Macaca fascicularis: one gene and its partner. The protein of the gene in region 1 interacts with the protein of each later gene in a biochemical or structural test. Links are inferred from orthologs where the notes say so. Each region holds a gene or a part of one and is shown on either strand. Other genes may lie near its edges. The genes, in order: STAT1 and PRKCD.

Evidence for each region.
Region 2: of the proteins of STAT1 (region 1) and PRKCD, one has a biochemical effect on the other in vitro, tested with the Homo sapiens proteins (2 studies listed by BioGRID). The link is inferred for Macaca fascicularis from reciprocal best matches to the Homo sapiens genes STAT1 and PRKCD.

The regions. Positions count from the first base shown.
Region 1 is NC_088386.1:86,678,614-86,689,100, reverse strand, and holds part of STAT1 (signal transducer and activator of transcription 1-alpha/beta), read left to right. Parts: exon of another isoform or gene 1-83; intron 84-1,451; coding exon 1,452-1,544; intron 1,545-3,071; coding exon 3,072-3,131; intron 3,132-5,659; coding exon 5,660-5,689; intron 5,690-5,780; coding exon 5,781-5,874; intron 5,875-7,069; coding exon 7,070-7,111; intron 7,112-8,328; coding exon 8,329-8,412; intron 8,413-8,984; coding exon 8,985-9,083; intron 9,084-10,197; coding exon 10,198-10,333; intron 10,334-10,487. UniProt on the Homo sapiens protein: Signal transducer and transcription activator that mediates cellular responses to interferons (IFNs), cytokine KITLG/SCF and other cytokines and other growth factors.
Region 2 is NC_088376.1:116,294,328-116,305,609, forward strand, and holds the start of PRKCD (protein kinase C delta type), read left to right. Parts: upstream 1-3,845; 5' UTR 3,846-4,065; intron 4,066-4,875; exon of another isoform or gene 4,876-5,001; intron 5,002-7,588; exon of another isoform or gene 7,589-7,700; intron 7,701-11,198; exon of another isoform or gene 11,199-11,282.

The DNA of each region.
Region 1 (10,487 bases):
ATACTGTATGTAGCTGCACTACAACAGATTCTTACCATCTCCACAGAGGTCAGAGATTGTAAATGGTCAATACTGACTTTCTTTTTGTTCTCTTTACTCAAAACAGCGAACTTCATTTTCAGAACTGTTTTTAAACCTTTGTGCGCTGGTTTATAAAATAATGTATTTTCCTGATATCAGACTGTTCTCTCATGGTTGATTAGACTATATTTTGTTTTGATGTTTATATTGGCGTGTTTAGATGTCAGGTCTAGTCTTCTGAAGACGAAGTTCAGCTGTTTTGTATCAAATAGCACAAGCAGTGTCTGTCACTTTCCATGCGTAAAGTTTAGTGAGATGTTACATGTAAGATCTGATTTGCTGGTTCTTCCTTGTAGAGTTATAAATGGAAAGATTACACTATCTGATTAATAGCTTCTTCATACTCTGCATATAATTTGTGGCTGCAGAATATTGTAATTTGTTGCATACTGTGTAACAAAACAACTGAAGATATGTTTAATAAATATCGTAGTTATTGGAAGTAATATTTTTTAAAAATGTACTCCTGACTAACATAGTGAAACCCCATTTCTACTAAAAATACAAAAAAAAAATTAGCTAGGCATGGTGGCAGGCACCTGTAGCCCCAGTTACTCAGGAGGCTGAGGCAGGAGAATGGTGTGAACCAGGGAGGCGGAGCTTGCAGTGATCACACCACTGAGCTCCACCCTGGGCAACAGAGTGAGACTCTGTCTAAAAAAAAAAATTTGCTTGGTTCCCTATGGCTAATGTTCAAACAAGAAGTCCTGTATGTTGAGTTTTTTTTTAATTTAAAAACATTACTAGTACTTTGAGTGCACATTTTATTCTTAATTCTGACATGTAAATGAACATAATTAAATATGGGTTTTTTATTTTTTTATTTTTATTTTTTGAGGCAGAGCCTCACTCTGTCATCCAGGCTGGAGTGCAGTGGTGTGATCATGGCTCACTTCAGCCTCCACCTCCTGGATTCAAGTGACCTTCCCACTTCAGCCCTCTAGTAGTTGGGGCTAATTAGCCATGCCTGGCTAATTAAAAAAAAAAAAATTCGTAAAGATAGGGTCTCACTATGTTGCCTAGGCTGGTCTTGAACTCCTGGGATCAAGCAATCCTACCGTCTCAGCCTCTTAAAGTGCTGGGATTACAGATATGAGCCACTGTGCCTAGCCTTCATTGTATAAGTTTGTTTCAATGTAATAGTTTCATAGATCATTACGATTATTCTGTTTCTGTTAAGTCCTTGTTAGGTTTTGGGATTTCTTTACTAATTAGAAAATATCAATTTGTTCATCCAACTTGTCAGAATCTTTCAAACTATTTTTTAGGTTGTACTCTCTAACCCCCTTTTTTCTTTTGGGAAAATCATTGTGACTGCCTCAACCTTAATGGAAATGCTAACTTATCTATCCTTTGCTGGGTATTTGCAGCTCGTTTGTGGTGGAAAGACAGCCCTGCATGCCAACGCACCCTCAGAGGCCGCTGGTCTTGAAGACAGGGGTCCAGTTCACTGTGAAGTTGAGGTAACAAGGGAAAGATGGCATCCCATACATCGCCTGTCATGTAGTTTGTACCCCTAGTTTCCTTTTATAAAAACTGTTATTGAGGGTACTTTTGAGGAAATAATTTTTCAGGGGGCATTTTAATATGAACGCTTACTGAGAATATCTGAGAGTCTTTTATTAATATACTCATAGTAGAATGTAACCAATATACATATATGTACACACTCCTGATTTTTTTCCAATCATAAATGTAATGCATGTTCACAGGAAAACAGAATTCCAAATTGCAGAAATGTGTGTAATAGAGAGTGAAAGTTCCCGGCTGCCTCACCCCTCTTGGGCATAGGCTTATAACCTGAGCCTTATGAACCCCAGAAACTGTATGAATGTGGATTTATAATATGTACATTTTTTCTGATGAATGGATTTATAGCTTTCATCAGATTCTCAAAGCAGTCCGTGATATAAATATCTGTGGACCACCACAGTAAATGACCTAGTGTCTGTCCTCCCAGGATTTTATCCTTGTCTACACAAGGACATATTTCATACAGAAACACACACGCACAAATATGACATAATGTTTCCTTTTTAAAAAATTAGGATTCCATGTCTACACAAATATTTCATATAGACACACACACACAAATATGACATATTTCTTTTTAAAAAAACTCAGGGTAGGCTATATACATTGTTTTGTACCCTTTCTCCTCAATAATAATTGTAGAAGTGTTTCCAGGAACATGTGGCCTTACTTTCTTCTGTTGAATGGCCGCATTGCTTTAAGCATTCTTCTTATGATGAAGAACTGGACTGACCTTCAGAGTTGGACCGGGTCCTTTTTCTGGGGTGTTACTGATTTAAGTCTGTGGTTAACCCTCCCTGGCTGGTAGTGTACAATGCCACACTCAAGCCCTCGTGGAATTCTAGAACTCGCAGCTGGAAGGGACAGTAGAAATCTGATCCCATCCACCTGCTCCACTGAACGGAGCAGGCAGAGCCCTGGGGTCTCCTTCCCAAGGTCTCCAGCTCAGTGGGGCACAGGCACACACCCTCACCTGCCCTCCATCTTTCCACACTACCCAGGGGTGACTATAGATGGGACATTATTTTTTCTGATTATGGGCAATGGTTTTTATTGTCTCCCAACAGGACAAAGATTAGATACAAGTTTCAGTAGAAAGTAACATTTGCTATTTTTCACCCATATAAATTGGCCAAAGGTCGACATTGTGATGAATCCCAATATTGGCAAGGTTATGGAGGGAAACAGCTACCCTCATTAACTTTTGGTGGGAATGTAAACTCAGGGCTGCATCCTGTCAGAATTAGTGTGACAATTTTTCCTAAGCAATTCCACGGCTAGGAATTTATTCTTACAAAAATTTAAGTAGATCTACAAAACTGTCAGTTTTCTTGTTGGTAATGCCCTAAAACGGGGGTGGGGAGTGGTTTATCTAAACGTTAATAGGGAATTGGCATAATAAATAAATTGTAACAGATAATTTTTTTTTTAGTAATGGCTTTTATTTTTCTTTCCAGACTGTTGGTGAAATTGCAAGAGCTGAATTATAATTTGAAAGTCAAAGTCTTATTTGATAAGTAAGATATCTTTAATATTATGTAACATACGTGTACTACTGAAATGTTGATTTTGTTACTCAAGCACAGACTCCTGCACTAGATAAGCAGATTCACTAGCTGTGGAAGGGTCTACACTGGGTGGAAGTTTGCCTCCCTAGGGCCCCAGGGCTGAACCCAGAGTCCTGCCAATGCTGCATATGAGCAGAGACTCCTAGTCCGATCCACCAGGGCCGTCACAAATGATCCCAGCAGATTTAAGTCAGCAGCTCCCTTGGTGGATGTTGGGAGCTTCCCCTGGAGCTGTTATCAACATTCCTGAGCCTTTTTAGACTATAACTGAACAAGAGAGTGAGTGTCTCTTTATGCATATCACATTGTAATCAGCAAGTTTCAAAGTGGCTGGACTTGGCATGCCACCCCTTCCTTCTAGCTCAGCCCCAGAGGAGAGGCCCCTGATCCAACCTGAGGCCGAATATCCAGGCTGCCGTGATTCTGTGGTCATTTGGAGGGTTTTTTTGGAGTGAGATCAGCAGCATCTTGGGGAGACTGTGTGGAGCCTGTGGGATTCACCCTTGTCTCTTCTGGGCAGTGGGAACCCAGGAATGGGCATCTCATGGGAGTCCAAGTGGAGCAGCCCCATTCTATTTTGCCCTGAGACTCTAGACCTGGGCTGGCACTGACTTGGGCACTCTCATTAAGGAACAAGATGGCTCCTCCCACCCCTCCCATATTTAATGTTTTTGTTAGCTTGTGTCACATACTGGTGTGGCAAGTTTCAAAAGTGATTTATGATCATTCAAATCATTTTCCTCTGGCTTTTTGCTTCTTCCCATTCCTATAAGAATATTCTTCCTTGTAGCATGGTCTGTGCCTTGTCTTCATGCCATCATCTTTGGTATATCAGTTAGCTTTTGCTCCCTAACAAACCACTCTTAAAACTTAGTGGCTAGGCCAGGCGCGGTGGCTCACACCTGTAATCCCAGCACTTTGGGAGGCTGAGGCGGGCAGATCACGTAAGCCAGAGTTTGAGACCAGCCTGACCAACATGGCGAAACCCCGTCTCTACAAAAAATACAAAAAATTAGCCAGGTGTGGTGGTGTGTACCTGTAATCCCTGCTACTTGGGAGGCTGAGGCACGAGAATCGCTTGAACCTGGGAGGCGGAGGTTGCAGTGAGCTGAGATCATGCCACTGCACTCCAGTCTGGGTGATGGAATGAGACTGTCAAAAAAAAAAAAAAAACGTAGTGGCTAAAACCTCAAAAACTCATTTCTCATATTCTGTGAGTTGTAGGTCGTCCTGGTCTGGGCTAGCGTGGTTGGAGCCAGGTGCTCTAGCAAGGCCTTATTACGTGACTGGGACTCAGCTGGGATAACCAGGTCCTTCTTCAAACATCTCAAAAAGGCTAGCCTGGGCTTTTCCCACGGTGACAGTGTTCCAAGTGAACAAGGCCTGTTAGTGCTAGCCTTGGAACGTGTATAGCATCACTCCTTTCCATCCAGTTGCTAAAAGCAAATCAAGGCCAGCTGAGATTCGGGGGACAGGGAAATACATCCTACTTCCTAAAGGGAAGAAGCACAAGGGTCGTGTGGCCATTGCAGTTTACCGTCCTCTGCGTCAGCTCAGCTCCTCTCAGCTGCTTCAGGCCCCTGTGTCTTTTCTGTCGGTTCCAGCTGACTGTCTTCTTAGCTTTGAAAAGTCAGCTTTTATCATACTATTCTTTTTATTTTAAATTCTTTTTTTTCCAAACAGGAAAATAGGTCCCTCCCATAGCTAATGGTGATTGTCATTCGCAAAAGCATTAAACTTCTGGTTGAGATTGGAAAGGAAGGGGAACTAATAGATCTGTGAGTGAGCCCATGATTTCTAGTCTACATCTAGGACACTCATGGATACATTATTTGGCCAGAACGTGACAAAGTAATCACTGGATATAAAAGTGCAAAGTCTTTCAAAATTTCAACCTCAGACTTTGAACTTAAACTTCCCACTTATCCCAGATAACTGACTCTTCTGGTACTTTCATGAGAGCATTAAAGATCATAGAGAATAAAAATGAGGATTAAATGGTCACATTGGCAGTCCTCTGAGCTTTGTGACAACTGGGCAGTGCTGTCTGCTGGATACCCAGTGCTTAGTGCAGGGCCTTGCACCAAGTAGCTGCCCAATGAACAATAACGATAGCTTACATTTATTGAGGGTGTACTGGTGCTGGTGCTTACATTTATTGAGGGTGTACTGGTGAGGAATTAACTAGTTTATTCCTCACAATGTCCCGTATGTTGGCACTGTTAGTATGTTGTGCAAATGAACAACGTGAGGCCCAGACCATTTATTTGCCCAAGGTCATTCAGTGATACTTGCCAGACCTAATATGGGTAGATTGAGGCAGGGAGTGAATGAAAGGCCGCAAACCCACAGGTGTAGATTTATTTTTTATTTATCATTCACTTAACACTCTTATGTTCTTATACTCTTATAATTTTGTTTAAGCTTATTTCAAATTTTAAATACACATATGTGATTATATATTTTTTTTTTTGCAGAGATGTGAATGAGAGAAATACAGTAAAAGGGTACGTGATGTACTTTATGCTACACTGTGCTATATTTTTATTTGTTTAATAGTTGGAAGACTTTTCAGCATTTCTTTCCCATATCGTATAGATTTAGGAAGTTCAACATTTTGGGCACGCACACAAAGGTGATGAACATGGAGGAGTCCACCAATGGCAGTCTGGCGGCTGAATTTCGGCACCTGGTAGGGACATGAGTTTCCTGTCTTTGTCTCTGGTTTCTTAGGACTTTTGACAACAGAGCGACCCTTTTTGGCACGTTGCCATATGGACGGCGCCCCCCTGCTGGGGTTTGCAGACTTTGTGGCTGGTGACTTCCTGTCACCAGCACTTGGGGCATTTTGATTTCTCCTCCTCATCCCATGACTGTTCACTCCATTTTCTGGGCTGTATCACTCACGGTAAAAACAATTTATAAGCCTGTGTATACGTAAATGATTTGCACTTGCTGCCTGCATGATCCCCACAGTCACTCACTGTAGACGCTTGCAGTTTTCTCAAAGGTTATGGCTCCCGTGTCCTGACTGTGATTTCCCCCACCCTCCAAGTGTGGTCCCGTACTCCAGGGTTCACTCCTCAGCCCCTGTGTTCCCCTTCCTGGCGGCCCTGCCCACAGCCCCTGCCTCCACGGCAGCCTGACTCTGCCACCTTGTCTCCAGGGCAGTAGAGCTCATTCCCCAGGCAGTAGAGACCCAGCGGGGTGCTCTCTGTGGGCTGTGCCATCTTTCCTCCTCTGTGAACACAGGGGCTGCCAATTGTTGTGAGGCTCTGTGGGTGCTGCGTCCAAAGCTCTCCCTGGGCTCAGAACCTGCAGGAGGTTAAAGGCATCCTTTTCCACTAGAGACCGCTTTGTGATCCAGCAAGCCTCCTAGCTAGGAAGCTCTACCTGACTTGGAAGCTTTAGCCCAACTCAGCTGCCTGAGGGTGTTCAGAGCCACCCTCAGGGCCCCAGCCTGCTCCCTTGGCAGCTCAGGGATTGATGTCCACTTGAGGGCATTTGGACCTGGAGTCACTGGGCCCAGCCTGGAGGACTCTGCTGAGGGAAAGGGGAGGGTGAAGCTGTCCCCTGAGCCTCGGGGCATGAAACAGCTAACGAAGGTGCACGGGGGAATCATTCAGGGGAAGTTTGAACACAGGAGAGGAGCCGGTGGCGATTCCAAGAGATCCCTCCAGACTGGTGTCTGCACCATCAGGCCTCTGGGGAAACGTGCTTCTGCTCATGGACCCAGAACGAGGGCCATTTTGTCCCATGTTCTGCATTCTAAAGATAGTGTCACGTCTGTCATTCTTTCTAGTCCTAACTTTGTTCTCATTTGTAAATGAAGATAGCAACTTTGACCATTACCATGGTGTTTAATAAGATGATTATTTGTTTTATAGCAATTGAAAGAACAGAAAAATGCTGGCACCAGAACGAATGAGGTGAGAGTCTCTTTATGTTGTGAATGGGCCCAAATCAGGCAGGTCTGTCTAGCAAGGGCAGGTCAGTTGGTGGCTGGGGACACCTCACAGAGGAGTTCAGACCCAGCAGGGAAGAGCAGCAAGTGAGCTGGGTACTTGGTATATCTGTGACAACAGTAAAAACACCACATTTGTACTTTACTATTGTCAAACGATTTTGCACACAAATTCATTGGACACTCAGTGGAGTAGCTATTGTGGGCTTTTGTATTCTTCGCATCTTACGGGTGAAGAAATTGAGTCACAGGAAGTTTGCAGGATTTAGCTAAGGGTGCACAGAGAGTTACTGTCAGAGTTGGAATGAGAGGCCACTTTGATGACTGCCTTGCTGTGTGCCAAGAGGGCTTTTTGGCCGTGGCATCCCCTACCAGAAGCATTGCCTTTGCATCAGTTTCCTTCCTACAACGTGATCCTTAAGAAGTTGGGTTTGTGATGCATTCAGAAATGAACTATGGACAAAGGATGAAATATCTGGAGTTGTTTTGGTTTAGAACACTTTCGTCCTTTATGCACACACAGCGTGCAGTCCTTCCACACCAGGACCAGTGGAGGTCACATGGAGCAGCGGGACACACACAGGCCCAGGCAGTGCAAAGATGCCTTCTAGCCCTGGTGTGCACCTGAACTGTTTTGACCTCCCTGCGTCTAGCAGTTGTACCTCTCTAGTTCTAAGTTGTGAGGTTCTCATGAGGTAATGTCTATGAAGGCACTTTGAAATCTATCCATTTCTACCAAAACCAAAGCACCTTGTGACCTACCAAGTTGATGTGAGTCAGCCTTTCTGGTAGGCAGTAGACAATCCCAAGTGTGCACTTACTCCCAGCCCTCTCACCTCCTCCCCACCCATCTGCATTGAGATGTGCAGCCACACTGGGCAGGCAGACAGAGCTGAGGGTTGAGAAGCCTTAGGTCACAAAGCCATTAGTTGCTCTTTCCCCATTGACATTTATTGCTCTGAATCTATAATCCTTGCCATAACTTCAGGCACTTATCTTTCAGAGCACACTGATACTCAGAATCATTAAATCTGGAAGGGATTCAATATTGAGTCTTTGGACTTGCTGCTGGTTGGGTCCAGGATCTCTGTGGCCTGTTGCAATGTTAATTGGGCTTTTGAAAGTTTCAGGATCTGTGAATAAGTGGTTATATTCTTTTCTTCTTTCCTTTTCTCTTCCAAGGGTCCTCTCATCGTTACTGAAGAGCTTCACTCCCTTAGTTTTGAAACCCAGTTGTGCCAGCCTGGTTTGGTAATTGACCTCGAGGTAAGACTTTTATTTTTATGGTCCTGAGGTGGAAAACTTCATTATTTTTACTTTTAATTGTTACGTGTATTTTTATTTCTCAGTTTTTGTTTTAGAGATATTTACCTAATTGTTTTAAAAATGATATTTTTCAGCTACTACTACCTTAACCTTAATTTATGGTCCAGAAAGCTAGAGAATTGAATTAACCTTCAAATTCTATAACTTAAATGTTCCAGTTGAGATAGCTGATGTTAATTTTTTTTACAGTAAGCATTAGGACTTATTTATTTTCCTCTGCCCTCCCTCCACATTTTGTGTTTTCATTGTGACAATTTTCATCTTCTCATATTGCATACCCCTTAATTAGTTATTGTAGCTATTATTATTTTTAGGGACTTATTTCTTAACTGAAAGATATATCAAAGACAAATTAAACTGGACAAAAGAACAGAACTTAACATTTCTCATTTTCAAGTATTAAATATGTACAAATTTACAAATAATCCCCTGCTTTTAGTTGAGGCTAAGCAGTTATCTGAAGGTGACATTTCTGTGATTCAGATGATTTCAAGGTCTTTGTCATCCTTTAGACGACCTCTCTGCCCGTTGTGGTGATCTCCAACGTCAGCCAGCTCCCGAGTGGTTGGGCCTCCATCCTTTGGTACAACATGCTGGTGGCGGAACCCAGGGTATGGAAAATACATTTGCTTTGGTCCCAGGGTTAAGCAGACCCCATGCTCTCGCTGCTGCATCTCTGAAATAGCCCCAATGGCCAGTTGTTGAGGGAGAAGTGACAAAGCTCCTGTGGTATTTCTAAGGCTTTTGAGTAAATCTGGGAATGTGAAGCATGGATATGTATTTGAAATGAGAATTATGATTTTTCTGCCATGTGAGTAAGCTAGGGCACTCAGTGATTCCATACCACTTCATCATTATTATTTTTAAAATGTGTACATCTACTAAACAAGCATGCTCCATTCTTAAGAGTGTGGATACTCACTGTTAATTAATTATAGTCATTATCATTATTCAAAGTAGTTATGTTTTTTGAAGTTACCAGGAACACTTAATTAGCAAATAATGAATTGTTGCTCCTAAGGGAACTACAAGGCTAGGTTCCTTCAAGCCTCTGGTCACAACATTTTTGTCACCCCATCAATGCATAACATTGTTTATGTGTGTTTCTGTTTAAAGACACCTTATCTAATATACTTGCTGAGGCATTAACATTACACCTATAGTCAGGATTACTGGGTAACTCACGCCTGAGTGAAGCTTGCCTCACACATGTATTTTCTCCATAAGGCACATCCCAGCATTCCCGTGCTTAGGAACAGTATACCACACTGTGGCGCTATGCTTGGGCACCATTTTAAACAGTGATCACCAACAGCAATCACAAAATGCAAAAACATGGCACTAAATAGGCTTCAAAAAGGACACGTTTTTCTTATGAGAGCTGAAACAGGAAGCGAGTGTCATTTTGTTTGGCTTCAGTTGGAAACATAAGTGTTAAAAGACTCAAATTCTTTGCTGCTGTGTGCATGGGTGTGTCTTCAGATGACCCCAAAGACGTCATGTGCTTAGATTTTGGAGTTACAAGTAAATTTTAGTGAGTAAACAAGTTCACAAATGTGCATCTGTAAATAGTGAAAATTGACTGTATTTCTCTTCCCCTACTGTGAAAGCACCTGTGTGTCACATAAACTAGAATTGAACTTTGGGATGGACATATGTTTTAGTGCCACACTTGTGACTGGTGTCTCTGTAGTAACCCTTCGATTTTGGGTGTTTTCTCTCTAGAATCTGTCCTTCTTCCTGAATCCACCATGTGCACGTTGGGCTCAGCTTTCAGAAGTGCTGAGTTGGCAGTTTTCCTCTGTCACCAAAAGAGGTCTCAATGTGGACCAGCTGAACATGTTGGGAGAGAAGCTTCTTGGTATATGCATATTAACTTGTTACGTTTATAAGAATTGAAATTCATAAAAATACCTCTCTAATTGCTCTTTTCCCCTCTGCTATTTTGTTAAAGGTAAAAAAGTATTAAAATCTGTTAGCTTTTCAAGCTATAGTTTATTATAGCTAAGTGAGAA
Region 2 (11,282 bases), on another chromosome or scaffold:
GTGTTGAGGAAGGAACATGGAGGCAATTAGCCCAGCCTCACTAACTCTCTGCCTGGCAGGTAACACCAACATGGGATGAACTTGAACTCTTCCATCCCCTCAGCCTCAGGAGGTCGATCTTACCAAACTCCACTTCACAGATGAGGAAGCTGAGGCACATTTAAGCTGCAGTGCGGGGCACAGCCAGGATGTGAACCAGCCCCTGGCCTGGCACTTCCCTGCTATGCAGTACTACCCACAAGGCCACTGTCCCCTCAGCCTGTCCTTGCTTGTGTTTAACCTAGTGCCTGAGGCTGACACTCCTGTTGATGACAGTCTTGGTGGCCTGAGGCATGGGCATGTCCCAAGTGTCCTTCCTACTACACTGTCCCCAGTGGGCACCTCCCAGGCTCTTGCCCAGGTGCACTACCACTGTTGACTGTGTCTCCTGCTCCAGAAACACAAGCCCACTCTGTCTTGGCCAGGCCAGTGCTCTGGGTGTGATGGGGATTGCCGTGGCAACCAAAGCTTCAGGGACAAGGATGGTGACACAGAGAGACAGAAACAGAGAGAAGGTGCAAAAGGCAGAGAGGCCAGGACAAGGACCAACTCTTGGCAGGGATCAAGTGAGGGACCCCATTTGCCTTCAGCTGTGTGGGCCTCAGGGACAGAGGGAGGGCTTTTCCAGGTTGCTTGGCCGAGTCTTGGACTTCAGGAGTGGAGGAGTCTGGAGGCCTCCCAGGGTTCATGGCCTTTGGAGGAGGCAGAAGTGACAGGGGTCAAGCTGCTTCTCCTTTGGATAAATCCTCCAGGAGGTCCACAGAGGGAACAGCCCTGGGTGGATGCCGTGGGTGGGAGTCTGGAAGCTGCCTGGCGCCACCCCTAGCCCATCTCCTTGGCTGCAAACCTGGAGGAAGAGGAAAAGTACCACCTCTAGGCAGCTGCTATGAGTCTAGCCCTGCTCAGGGATTTACGTCCCATGTCATGAGAGGCCATTGAAGGCTCTTTCAAGGCTGACGGCCTATGACTTGGCACATGACCATGCCAGGTCACAGGCTGTAACCCTGGGCAATGTGTTTAGCCTGGCTGAGGCTCTGTATATATCATCTCATTTAACCCTTATCATCTCATTCAACCTCTGACATGAGTCTGTCATCAGCTCTCTTCATAGGTGAGAACTCCAAAGCTGGGAGAGGCACGGTCACCTACTCAGGGCCATACAGTTAGCATGTGACACAGCCAAGGTTTGCTCTCAGGCTTCAGCAGGCCCTTCTTGTTGATGCCAGGCAGATTATGGGGACACAGATACCAGCTCATCTGGACCCTGCCCTGGCCCACCAGTGTGGCACCCAGAAGCAGCTCCAAGATGCAGGTTGGTTCTAGTCAAGCGTGGCCTGGACTCTCTGGACCTCATGCAAACCTGTTCTCCCTGGGGCCCTTGGACCTAAGGCCTGGAGGGAAGCCCACCTTCATCCCTTCTCTGCCCTTGCCACAGCATAGCCAGCACAGCCTTAGCCCCTCTGCCCCCCTCTGAGTACATCACACTTCCCCTTTCTCCAGAGGAGAGAGATTGGCTGAAGCCAGTGTGTGCTTGCAGCCCCTGAGCTCACAAGTCTGCATATCCTGAGGATCAGGAAAGTGCTTCCTGTTGTCTAATGTAAATCTTGTTCCTGTAACACCAGAATATGTCAAAGCAGTGATTCTCAACAAGGGGTAATTTTGCCCTGCAGCGGACATTTGGCAATGTTTGGAGACATTTTTGTCTGTCACAAGTTAAAGCAGGGAGGTACTACTGGCATCCAGTAGGCAGAGGCCAGGAATGCTGCTAAACATCCTTACAGTGCACAGGGCAGCCCCCACAGCAAAGAATCATCTGTCCCAAAGGTCAGTGGTGTTGGAATTGAGATCCCTGATGTAAACTATGGGCTTTGGAGGCAGAGAGACCTCAGTCTGAATCCACCTCTGCCACTGACTAGCTGTGTACTCTGGGGCAAGTCGCTTCTCCTTTCCCTGAGCCTGTTTGCTCATCACCAAAACTGGCACTAACAGTAGCCCTCACCTCTTAACTGTTCCGACTGCACACATCCAGCACCCAGCACACAGCCTGGTGCTGGGTAGCCCCTATCAGCGATAGCCATGATTATTCATTTCCTTCTTCCAAGGTGAACCACAGGGAGTGGGAACAAAGGTCTGGTGCCTGGACCTGGAGGCCACAAAGGTCTGGTGGCTGGACCTGGAGCTCCACAAGGGTCAGTCCTCCCTCTGGCTGCAGTCCCTGGCACAGGGTGGGCCTATTGTTTATGTTGAGGGAGAGGCTGGGTTGGCTTACTGTGAACCTGAAGGAGGAGCCAGAAGGAAACCTGATCCCAAGTGGGCAAAGGTCACCTGAGGCTCACCTTGTGCACCCTTTCCTCCAGTCCAACCCCAGGGAAGCCATGGGGCATGATGGGTGGGGTGGGATGGTATCAGGACACAGAACATGCTAATGAATATGGTCCTTCGCTCAGGGAAGTGCTGTGCATTACAACTGGGCATCAGGCAGGAGGGGCATTTGAATGGACACAACCAGGGCAGGTAGAGGTTTGGGGGTGGGGTGGGAAATGGCATTCAGGCCCAGAGAACAGCATGCTCAAGGCCTGGGTGTGAAGAGAAAAATGTCTTTCCCAAAGGATAGTCCTGGAACCCACCTGGTCTGACCTTTTCTCCCCATCCATCTTCCCCAATCTCAACCCAGGTGGCTGACAACATGGCAGCCCTTCTGTCCCCCATCCAGCCTCTCCTCTGCCCTGCAGTCCCTCTGCCCCATCTATCCCGCAGGAGCCCTCTAGAGCCTGTCGTCCTGACTGATTGTAACAGCTTTCACCACCTTCTCATTGCTCCGTAAGAAGACCAAAGTCCAATAACCTGTCTCTGTCACAAGCCCCTTTCTCAGCTCAGGCCACCTCTGGGATTGTCCCCCACTTCCATCCCTTGTGTTTAGACTTTCCCTATCCCTTCTAGGTGGTTCCCCAGGACCTGGAACCCTCTTTTTTGTCTCCTGGGAAGTGACATTTCTTTGGATCAGTATAAGAATAATGTCTTGGCTTTCTGAGCTCTGGGGACAGGGGAATGGACACCCTAGAACCCCAACTGGTCCCTAGACTTTGAGCCTAGGGGACACTCGATGAATAGATGGATGAGTGTATGAATGAATGAATGAATGAGTTATGGCTGACAACCAAGTTCCACGTCTGGAAAGGAGGCTCAGGCGCCTGCCAGGAGCAATAGAGAGGTCTCGAAGATGGGGGCAGGAGAGCAGAAGACTGCCAATCGGGGTAGGGGCAACTGCCAGTCGGGGTAGGGGCAGGTCCCAGAACCGCCTGAGGAGCAGTGCAGCGGCCGACCAGCGAGAACCTCCGGCCCTGGAGTGTAACCAGCTCAGTCTTTGGGGCAGAGCCGGGACAGCGGGCTTGGCGGCGGGCACCGAGCCCGGCCGCGTCCGAGTTCCAGCCAACAGGAAGAGCAGGAGTGGGGCCAAGGGAGGCGGGCCAGCTGGCTAGTGGGGAGTCCCGGGCGTGGGTGTGGGGAGCGGGGGAACCCCCGCCGGCGCCTCCCAGGCCCCAGCGGGCGGGGGGCGCCTCCTTATCGGGCCTCAGCGGCCTCCTCTGTAAAATGGGCCCCTTCTGAGGGCTGGCTGCGCGTAATGGCGGGAGGATGCGAAGCGGGCCACAGAGGGCAGAGGGGCCGGGAGACTCAGTGTCCCGCGCAGAAAGAGGCAGAGGGACACAGTCCCCGGTTGCAGCTGGTGGGGCGGGGCCTGGAGGGGCGGGGCCTGGAGGGGGCGGGGCCGGCGGCACCTGGGTGAGGTCGCGCCGCCCCGCCCCCTCGCACTTCCGTGTGCCGCGGCGCCGGAGCCCGAGGCTGCTGCAGCCCAGATCCCCCGAGCGACCCCCGGCGCCCGCCCGCCGTGCCGAGGCCCGGGCCACACCTCACTGGCCGCTGGACTCGTCCCAGTCAGCGCCGCGCCGACCGCCGTCCGCGCGCGCCAAGGAGCCGCCCGCCCGCCACCGCCGCCGCGACCCTTGGCGCCTGCCCCTGCGCCGGGAGGTGAGTTAGGGCCGGGACCCGGCGCGGGATCGGGGCTACCCCGAGGGCGCGACGCCCTTTCTTCCCCTCCCCGGCCCGGTTCCCGTTTCCGAAACTGAGAAACTGAGCCGCGGTCAGCGAAAGTCCCTCCGCGCCGAGACATGCCGGTGACTCCGTCCCCCCGTCCGTCTGTCTGTCCGTCCCTCCGCCAGATAGTGGGGGCTGAGGTCTTTCTGTCCGCCCGCCCGTGTGTCTCCCGCTCCTCCGAGAGGCCCGTCCGTCCTTCCCGACTGTCTCCTGGGCCCTGTGACCGTCCGTCTGTCGCCACCCACTCTGTGTTCTCCCCCTGCGCGCCTCTCCGAGACCCGATCCGTCTGTCCCTCGCCCTCCGCGTGCTCCATCGCCCCACCCCCACCCTTACCCCCGCCGGCCGCCCCCTCGATCCCGTTCTCCCGGAGCCGCGCCCCCGGCCCACGCTTGCCGCCCCCTGCCGGTCCAGCCGCCTATCCGCTCTACCGCGGAGCCCAGGCCAGGCCGCCCGCCGGGCCTCGCCTCCCGCCCCTGGGTCCCTGGAGGCCCGACTCGCGCGGCGCCTCCTCCTCGCTGTCTCTTCTTTCGGTCTCAAGAGTCTTTCTCGGTCCCTTCATCCGTCTCTGGGCTGGGCGTGGCTCCAGTCTCCACCATCCCCCTTACTGCCCCACCCCTCCGCCCCTCTGAGACCCCTTCCCAGGGTGGCCCCTGCCCGGTGTGGTCTGCACCCGCCCCCAACCCAGATGCCACTCGCGTTGTGGGGGCTCTGCCAGGTGAGGGGAGGGAGGGGGAAGTCCTCCTGGCTGGTGGTGGAGAGGCAGAAGGAGAGCACCATCGGAACTGCTCCCACTTCCCCAATTCCCTCACTCTTGGGGCACAGGAGAGCCCCACTGAGCCCCCACTTAAACCTGGTCAGAAGGATTTGCTGTGAGTGTGTGGGGGGGTCCCCTTCTCTGATGCCTACCCTGTATGCATGGACGCTATCTCCTTGTGCTAAGTCACTGGTATCTGGGTGTGTGGGTTGTCTGTGTCAGCTTCTGTGCTGTCACTGTGGGACTTGCCTGTGCATGTGTGTCCTTTTTCGCATGTGTGGCTTGCTTGTGTGTATGTGTGTATGTCTGTTTGTGTCCTGAGGCTCTGTGTGTGTCTTTTGCAACTGTGTGTACCATTCTTGGTGTTTTTGTTGTCACCAGACTTGTGTGTGTGTGTGTGTCCTTGTCTGCCAGTGTGTGTGTCCCTGTGTGTCTGGAGATTTCAGTGTTGCATACTGGGTATATCATGGTGACCAACTGCCCACAAGTACCTTAGATCTGTTAATTGTGGAAGCCCCTGGTGTTGGGTGCCTGCCCACCAGGCTCATGTGTGAGTGTATCTGTATGAGTGTGTGTATGTGCGTGTACTCATGTGTGGCTCTCCCTCTGCCACTGAGCTTCTGTGACCAGGCTCACCTGGTCACTAAGGGAGGGGACTGATCCCTGGGGTTTCCTCGTTCCTACTGTGGAGTGAGCTGGGGCGCGGTGGGCAGGCCAACAGAGGGAGGCTGTATGGCGCATGTGTGATGTGTGCAGTTGTGTGTGTGTGTGAGACAGAGAGGTGTGGAGGTGTCTGGGCAGCTGTACCTGGCTGAGGGGTGGTGTGAGGACTATGGGATGGGACGGTACTGGGGTAAGCCTGGCAGTGTGTGGTCATGGTAGGAGTGTGTGACTGGTGGGACACAGTCTATGCTTGGGGAGTGACTGTGATTGTGGGGAACGGAGAGTGCCTGGGCGTGGGTGTTAGCGGCAGGAGGGGGTGTGACAAGGTGTGTGGTGACAGTGCTGGGAGGGAAGGTGAGAGCCCAGTATGGGTGTGTGAGTGTGTGGGAGACCATGAGGATGTGGGTGTGCACATGGAGAGGGCTAGAGGGCAAGTCTTGGGGTTAGCAGTGTTGTGACCAAGACCTCGGGCTCTGGATCCAAGAATGATTTGGGCTCCAATACTTGCTTGTGCCTGTTAAGAGCAAGAGACCCAAGCTAGGCCTCTCAAGGCTGAGTGTCTTTATCTGCAGAATGGAGAAAGTTGTGTGGACAAAAGGTCCTGAAGTCTTATGTTGTCACCACCCCCGGCTATATGGTTCCCATTCTCCTGGGAGCTGGGGTTAAAGAAAGCCCAGACAGTATCCAACCCAATTTCCTGCCTGTCTGTTGCCCCTTCCCATCTCCTTGACCAAGCAGCTTGAGGGAGGGAGGATGCCCAGACAAAGCCCCTAGTACCCAGCCCTGTTCAGCCTGCATGACAGCCCCTCCCTCACCAGCCGTTAGTGTCAGTAGCAGCAATGGGGGAGAGAGGGGTGGGGAGTGATTCAGAGCTGTGACTGCAGGGCGCTGACACCATTTAGCTGGCACAGTTTAGATTAAAATTAGAAATAATTTAAAGTACAGACGAAAAGATAAAGCCAAGGATGCCTCTATCCCCAGGGAATGGTGATGAGGGTCTCCAGCTGGGGGAGGGGCTCACATCTGGGGAGCAGAATCTTTCTTAGAGGCTTGAGCTGGCTGTCAGAAAAAATGCTTAGGCCTTTCAGCCAGGAGACACAGAGTTCCTTGCTACCTTTGCCATTTCTTCCTTCCAGGATATCTCCAGGCCTCAGTTTTTTCAGCTGTGTAATGGGCACAATAGTAACGTGAGAATCACCTGAACTATAATGCACAAAACAAGAGATTAAAAAATGTCACTCTTCAGGCTGGGCACAGTGGCTCACACCTGTAATTCCAGCATTTTGGGAAGCCGAGGCGGTAGATTACTTGGTCAGGAGTTTGAGACCAGCCTGGACAACATTTTGTCTCTACTGAAAATACAAAAATTATCTGGGCGCGGTGGTGCGCGCCTGTAATCTCAGCTGCTCAGGAGACTGAGGCACAAGAATCACTTGAGACCAGGAGGTGGAGGTTGCAGTGAGCCAAGATTGTGCCACTGCACTCCAGCCTGGGCGATAGAGCGAGACCCTGCCACATTAAAAAAAAAAAAAAAAAATCAGTCATTTGGCATTCTCAACGTGAGTCCAGCACAGGAGCTTGCACGCCACATCATTGGAACCTCAGAACCACCTGGGGAGAGGGGGCTAGCAGTTTCTCCATTAAAAAAACTGAGGCTCAGAGGAATTGCCCCAGGCCATAAAGTGGTGTGGTACTTCATTGCACCCTAGGACTCCTAAGCCTGCAGGGCAACCTCCCGCAGACAGGAGAGTCGGGAACAGGTTTTTGCTGTGTTATTGGCTTCCTCACCAGGCTGGAAATGTGCTGAGGGCAGGGACACAGTGTTCCAGCCCCTAACATGGAATGGACACATAGTGGTGTCCAGGAAAAGTTGGACCCAACACTACATTTCAAGGAAGGGAAAGCCACATCCAGAGAGACCCAAGGTTTTAGGGCCAGGAGAGACTGAACTGGGCCTGTCAGCCATGCCGGGACTGGCAGATGGGGAGAGCCTGTTTGGCGGTGCCTCCCGGTTCAGCTGTTTCCTCCTGTTCCTGCAGGTCTGCAGGGAACTGGCCAGGCAAGGGTGCAGGCCGGTTTCTCCTGGTGGTTGGTGCGTTGCAGCAGCAGCAGGAGCCAGGACTAAGGACAAGCGGGAGCTGGGAGCCCCAGGTAGGACTGAGTTCTCTTAGGCAGATGGACGGTGCTCAGGCGTGGCCTTCCTCTCTGTCCTCCCTGTCCTTTGCTGTGGGACTGGATGGGGTTGGGCATGCATGCAGAGTCCTTGATCTGGTTGTGGGCCCTATGTGCCCAGGGGCCGCAGCTGTTTGCCCTGTCTATGGAGGGGCTCTCTGCTCATGAGGAACTTCCCGCCTGGAACCTGGCTCTGGCCCCGAATGCTCTCGCCTTGGAGCTCAGAGGCCTGGGGCCTACCATGAGTTTGGGGCAAGAAGTAGTAACACTTTTTTGGTCAGTTAGAGAGAGGGTGGCTCGTGGGCCAAGGATTGAGGGTGGATGTATCAGCTTTTCCTTGGCCCTGTATCTGCCTCCAACTGTCCTCATCGTCACACAAGGACACTGAAATTCCCCGTGGGCCCCACAGTGAGTTGGACGCTGCGGGGGGATGGAATGGGGTCTCCAGGTACAGCTGAGCTGTCTTCCACACCCCAGGCCCCTCCATTTTCCCCACTTCTCTAGAGCCCGAGCAGGGCTCAGTCCCTCTCGTCAGCTTCCAAATTCAAGGGGAGTTAGGCAGAGTCTGGAACAATGCTGGGAAGGCTGCAGTCTCTCTGAAGAGCCTCAGAAAGCTGGAAATTCCTCGTTTTGGGGCAAGCCTTGCCTCCTTCAGCCCCATTACCATGAAAACACTGCTGTGGGTGACTCCATACTCACTCCAGGCTGGTGACTGGGTGACTGGGCCCCAGTGAGCAGGGTTCTGGTGGTGGGTATGGGTGCTAATGAAGCTTGAGCCTGGGAGTGACAGTGGGGGGATAGCAAAGACCGTCTTTCCTCCAGGAGCGCTCCCTGAGCAGACCACCGCAGCCAACCCCACTGGCTGTTACACACTTATAGGTCTGTGAGTAGAGCCATAAGGGCTGGGCTTCCTGGGCCTGACTCTGGGTTAGGGGGCAGAAAGGAGGTCAGGGCCCTCACTCCTGGGGTAGGAGTTGGGGCAGAACAGGAGTCGTCTTCACTGGGCCTTCTGTGTATTGGACCTATCCCTAAACCTGGTGTGGAGGAAGTGAAGTGCCTTTGGCTGTGTAGGGGCCTCTGCCACCGGAGTTCTGAAGAGCCAGCCCTTTCTGTCACTCAGCCTTGTTTTCTAAGGAGTTTGATTAGTCTTGGAGACAGCCCACGGTAAATCCTCAGACATCACCCGCCTGCTGCACAGACATATGCGTGCTCACACAGGGATATGGCAAGCCAGGCTGCAGTGGCCATGCACACCCACAGACTCATGAGTGCGTGCACCACCCATGTGGGCGTGCAGGTACACAGGTGCTCACATGCAGCCACCCATGGCACACTCACGCACACACAGATGATCTCCCAGTTACCATTGGCATCCATGCACTCAAATGCCTTCCCACACATACCACACTGTGCCCATTCTGGGGTCAGGAAGGGGGGCCCTGGTCAGAGTCACAGCCCAGCAAGGTCGCCTGCATCTGGCACCTGAGGGGGAAGTTCCAGGTGTGGCTGTGATCTCAGGGGGTTAAGGGGGGCTGGGCCACCCTGGTAGGTGGGCTCTGCCCATGCATTCAGCAGCCACCCTCCCACCTGGCCCCAGGCTCCAGGCCGACCAGGGCTTGGCATGGGAGATGGGAGATGGGAGATACGAGTGCAGGGGAGATGCGTGTCAGCTGTGCCAGCACCGTGTGCCTAGTGCCACGGCAGAGGAAGTAGGCTTTCTGGCCATGAGGCCAGTGTGCCCACAGTGGGTGGGGGTCCTATCACAACGCCTGTGTCCCCCACAGCATCCATGGCTAGAGGGAGTGGAGTTGCTGGGCTCTAGGGACTAAGAGGTTGGCAGGGGCGGTCTGTTCACTTCCCAAAGGCTGGGCCTGTCTGTCCGAGGCGTTTCCGGAGGCTCACTTCCTCTGGGCTGCCCAGGAAGTGGTTTTGGAGTGGGACTGACCAGCCCTCCGTCCGCAGCTCTACGCCTTGCTCCACCCCTGCCTTGCCTGCCCAGGGGAGCAGCATCTGGCCACCGGGTTAGGCTGACTGACCAGGCTTTTCACTGCCAGGGCTGCCCAGGCTTTTTTCGGGGGCTCTAGGAGAAGGGCAGGGGCCAGGTCATGAAGTCCCCTGCAGTCTCCACAACTTTCTCGTCCCCGCACCTTTCTTGCTCTGACCCTGTAAGCCGAGGCTCAAGAGCATCAGCTCTGGTAGTCATGGCCCCCTTGAGAGTGGTGATGGCTGGGCTGCATCTCAGTGACTAGGCAGCTCCCAGCAGCTCTATGAATGAGCCTGGGCAAGTGGCTTTGCCTCTTAGTGCCTCAGTTTCCCCCGACAGATGAGATGATAGCATCCATCTTGATGAGGTTGAGCAGAAATGACAGATAACATATGCAAAGTAGCTAGCATCGTGCTTAGCACATTGTCAGAGTTGAATGAGTAGAAACTGTAGTTATGTAAAGCATTTAGTGCCCAGTTCATGGGAACTATTCAAAAAATAGCAAGTGGGACTGATGAGGGGGTACTATGATCTGAGGGGCTGGGCACTGGCCCAGTGTTACATGGCCAGGTGCTATGGAGCCTGGCCGAGGAGCCAGGTCTCTGACTCCCTCATCCCCCTCAATTCTGCCTCCAGTGGCAGCACCCTACTGGTTCAATAGGTTCCATGTCTTCTGAGGAGAGGAGCTCCCGGTGGAGCAGCTCCACCCACTCAGCAGCCCAGCCCTTGCCTGCTCTTCTCCCCCTCACTCCCTTTCAAAGGGAGAAAATAGATCTCATGACAAATGGATGCAGGGAGGGGAAAGGCAGTCTGCAGCTGCCTGCTGCCCCCTCAGGGCTCCCCTTGGCGCTCTCCAGCTCTGGCCTTCTGCAGGACATTAGGCTGGGAGAATTGGCTGGGAATGAGGGGGTGGACGTAAGCCCTCCTGCCAGCCTGCTTACCCTTCAGACCCCTGGAGTCAGCCTTTGGGCTGGGGCAGGGAGTGGGCATCTGGTTATGATGGAGGCTAGAAGAGTAGGGGGAGCTAGAAAACCCCCTATATACACAGCAGCTGGGGGCAGGGCCCAGCCTGTCCCAGGGACACGAAGAAGGTCAGCACAGTCAGGGTTGGGCTGAGCATTGGCCTTCACTGTGTGGGACCCAGAGGCTAGGGGTGAGAAATGTTGAGGAGTGGTAAGGACAGTAATGCAAGCATCAGGAGCCTGAGGGCTGGAGAGCGAAAGATGAATGGGCCTGGGCGAGGAGTGTGGGTGAGGGTATCCTGAAGGCTTAGGAGCAGGACTTATGCAGGCATCAGACAGACCCTGATTGAATCCTTGCTCAATATTTCCTGGCTGTGCACCCTTGAGCCAGGGACTGGACTGCTCCCCACTTTCCTCATCTGTGAAATGGGCAGATCGGGGAGTGTCCTGTGAGACATGAATGATGGGAAAGAGCCACTGTGTGGGGGTAGGGTGGAGCAGGAAGACGGAACAGCAAGCCCAGAGGCTTCTAAGCGGAAAGGAACTGGCTGCTCCGGGAACTGAAAGGGGTCAGCGTGGCTGGGGCACAGGAGTGAGGGAAAGGCAGCCGCCTGA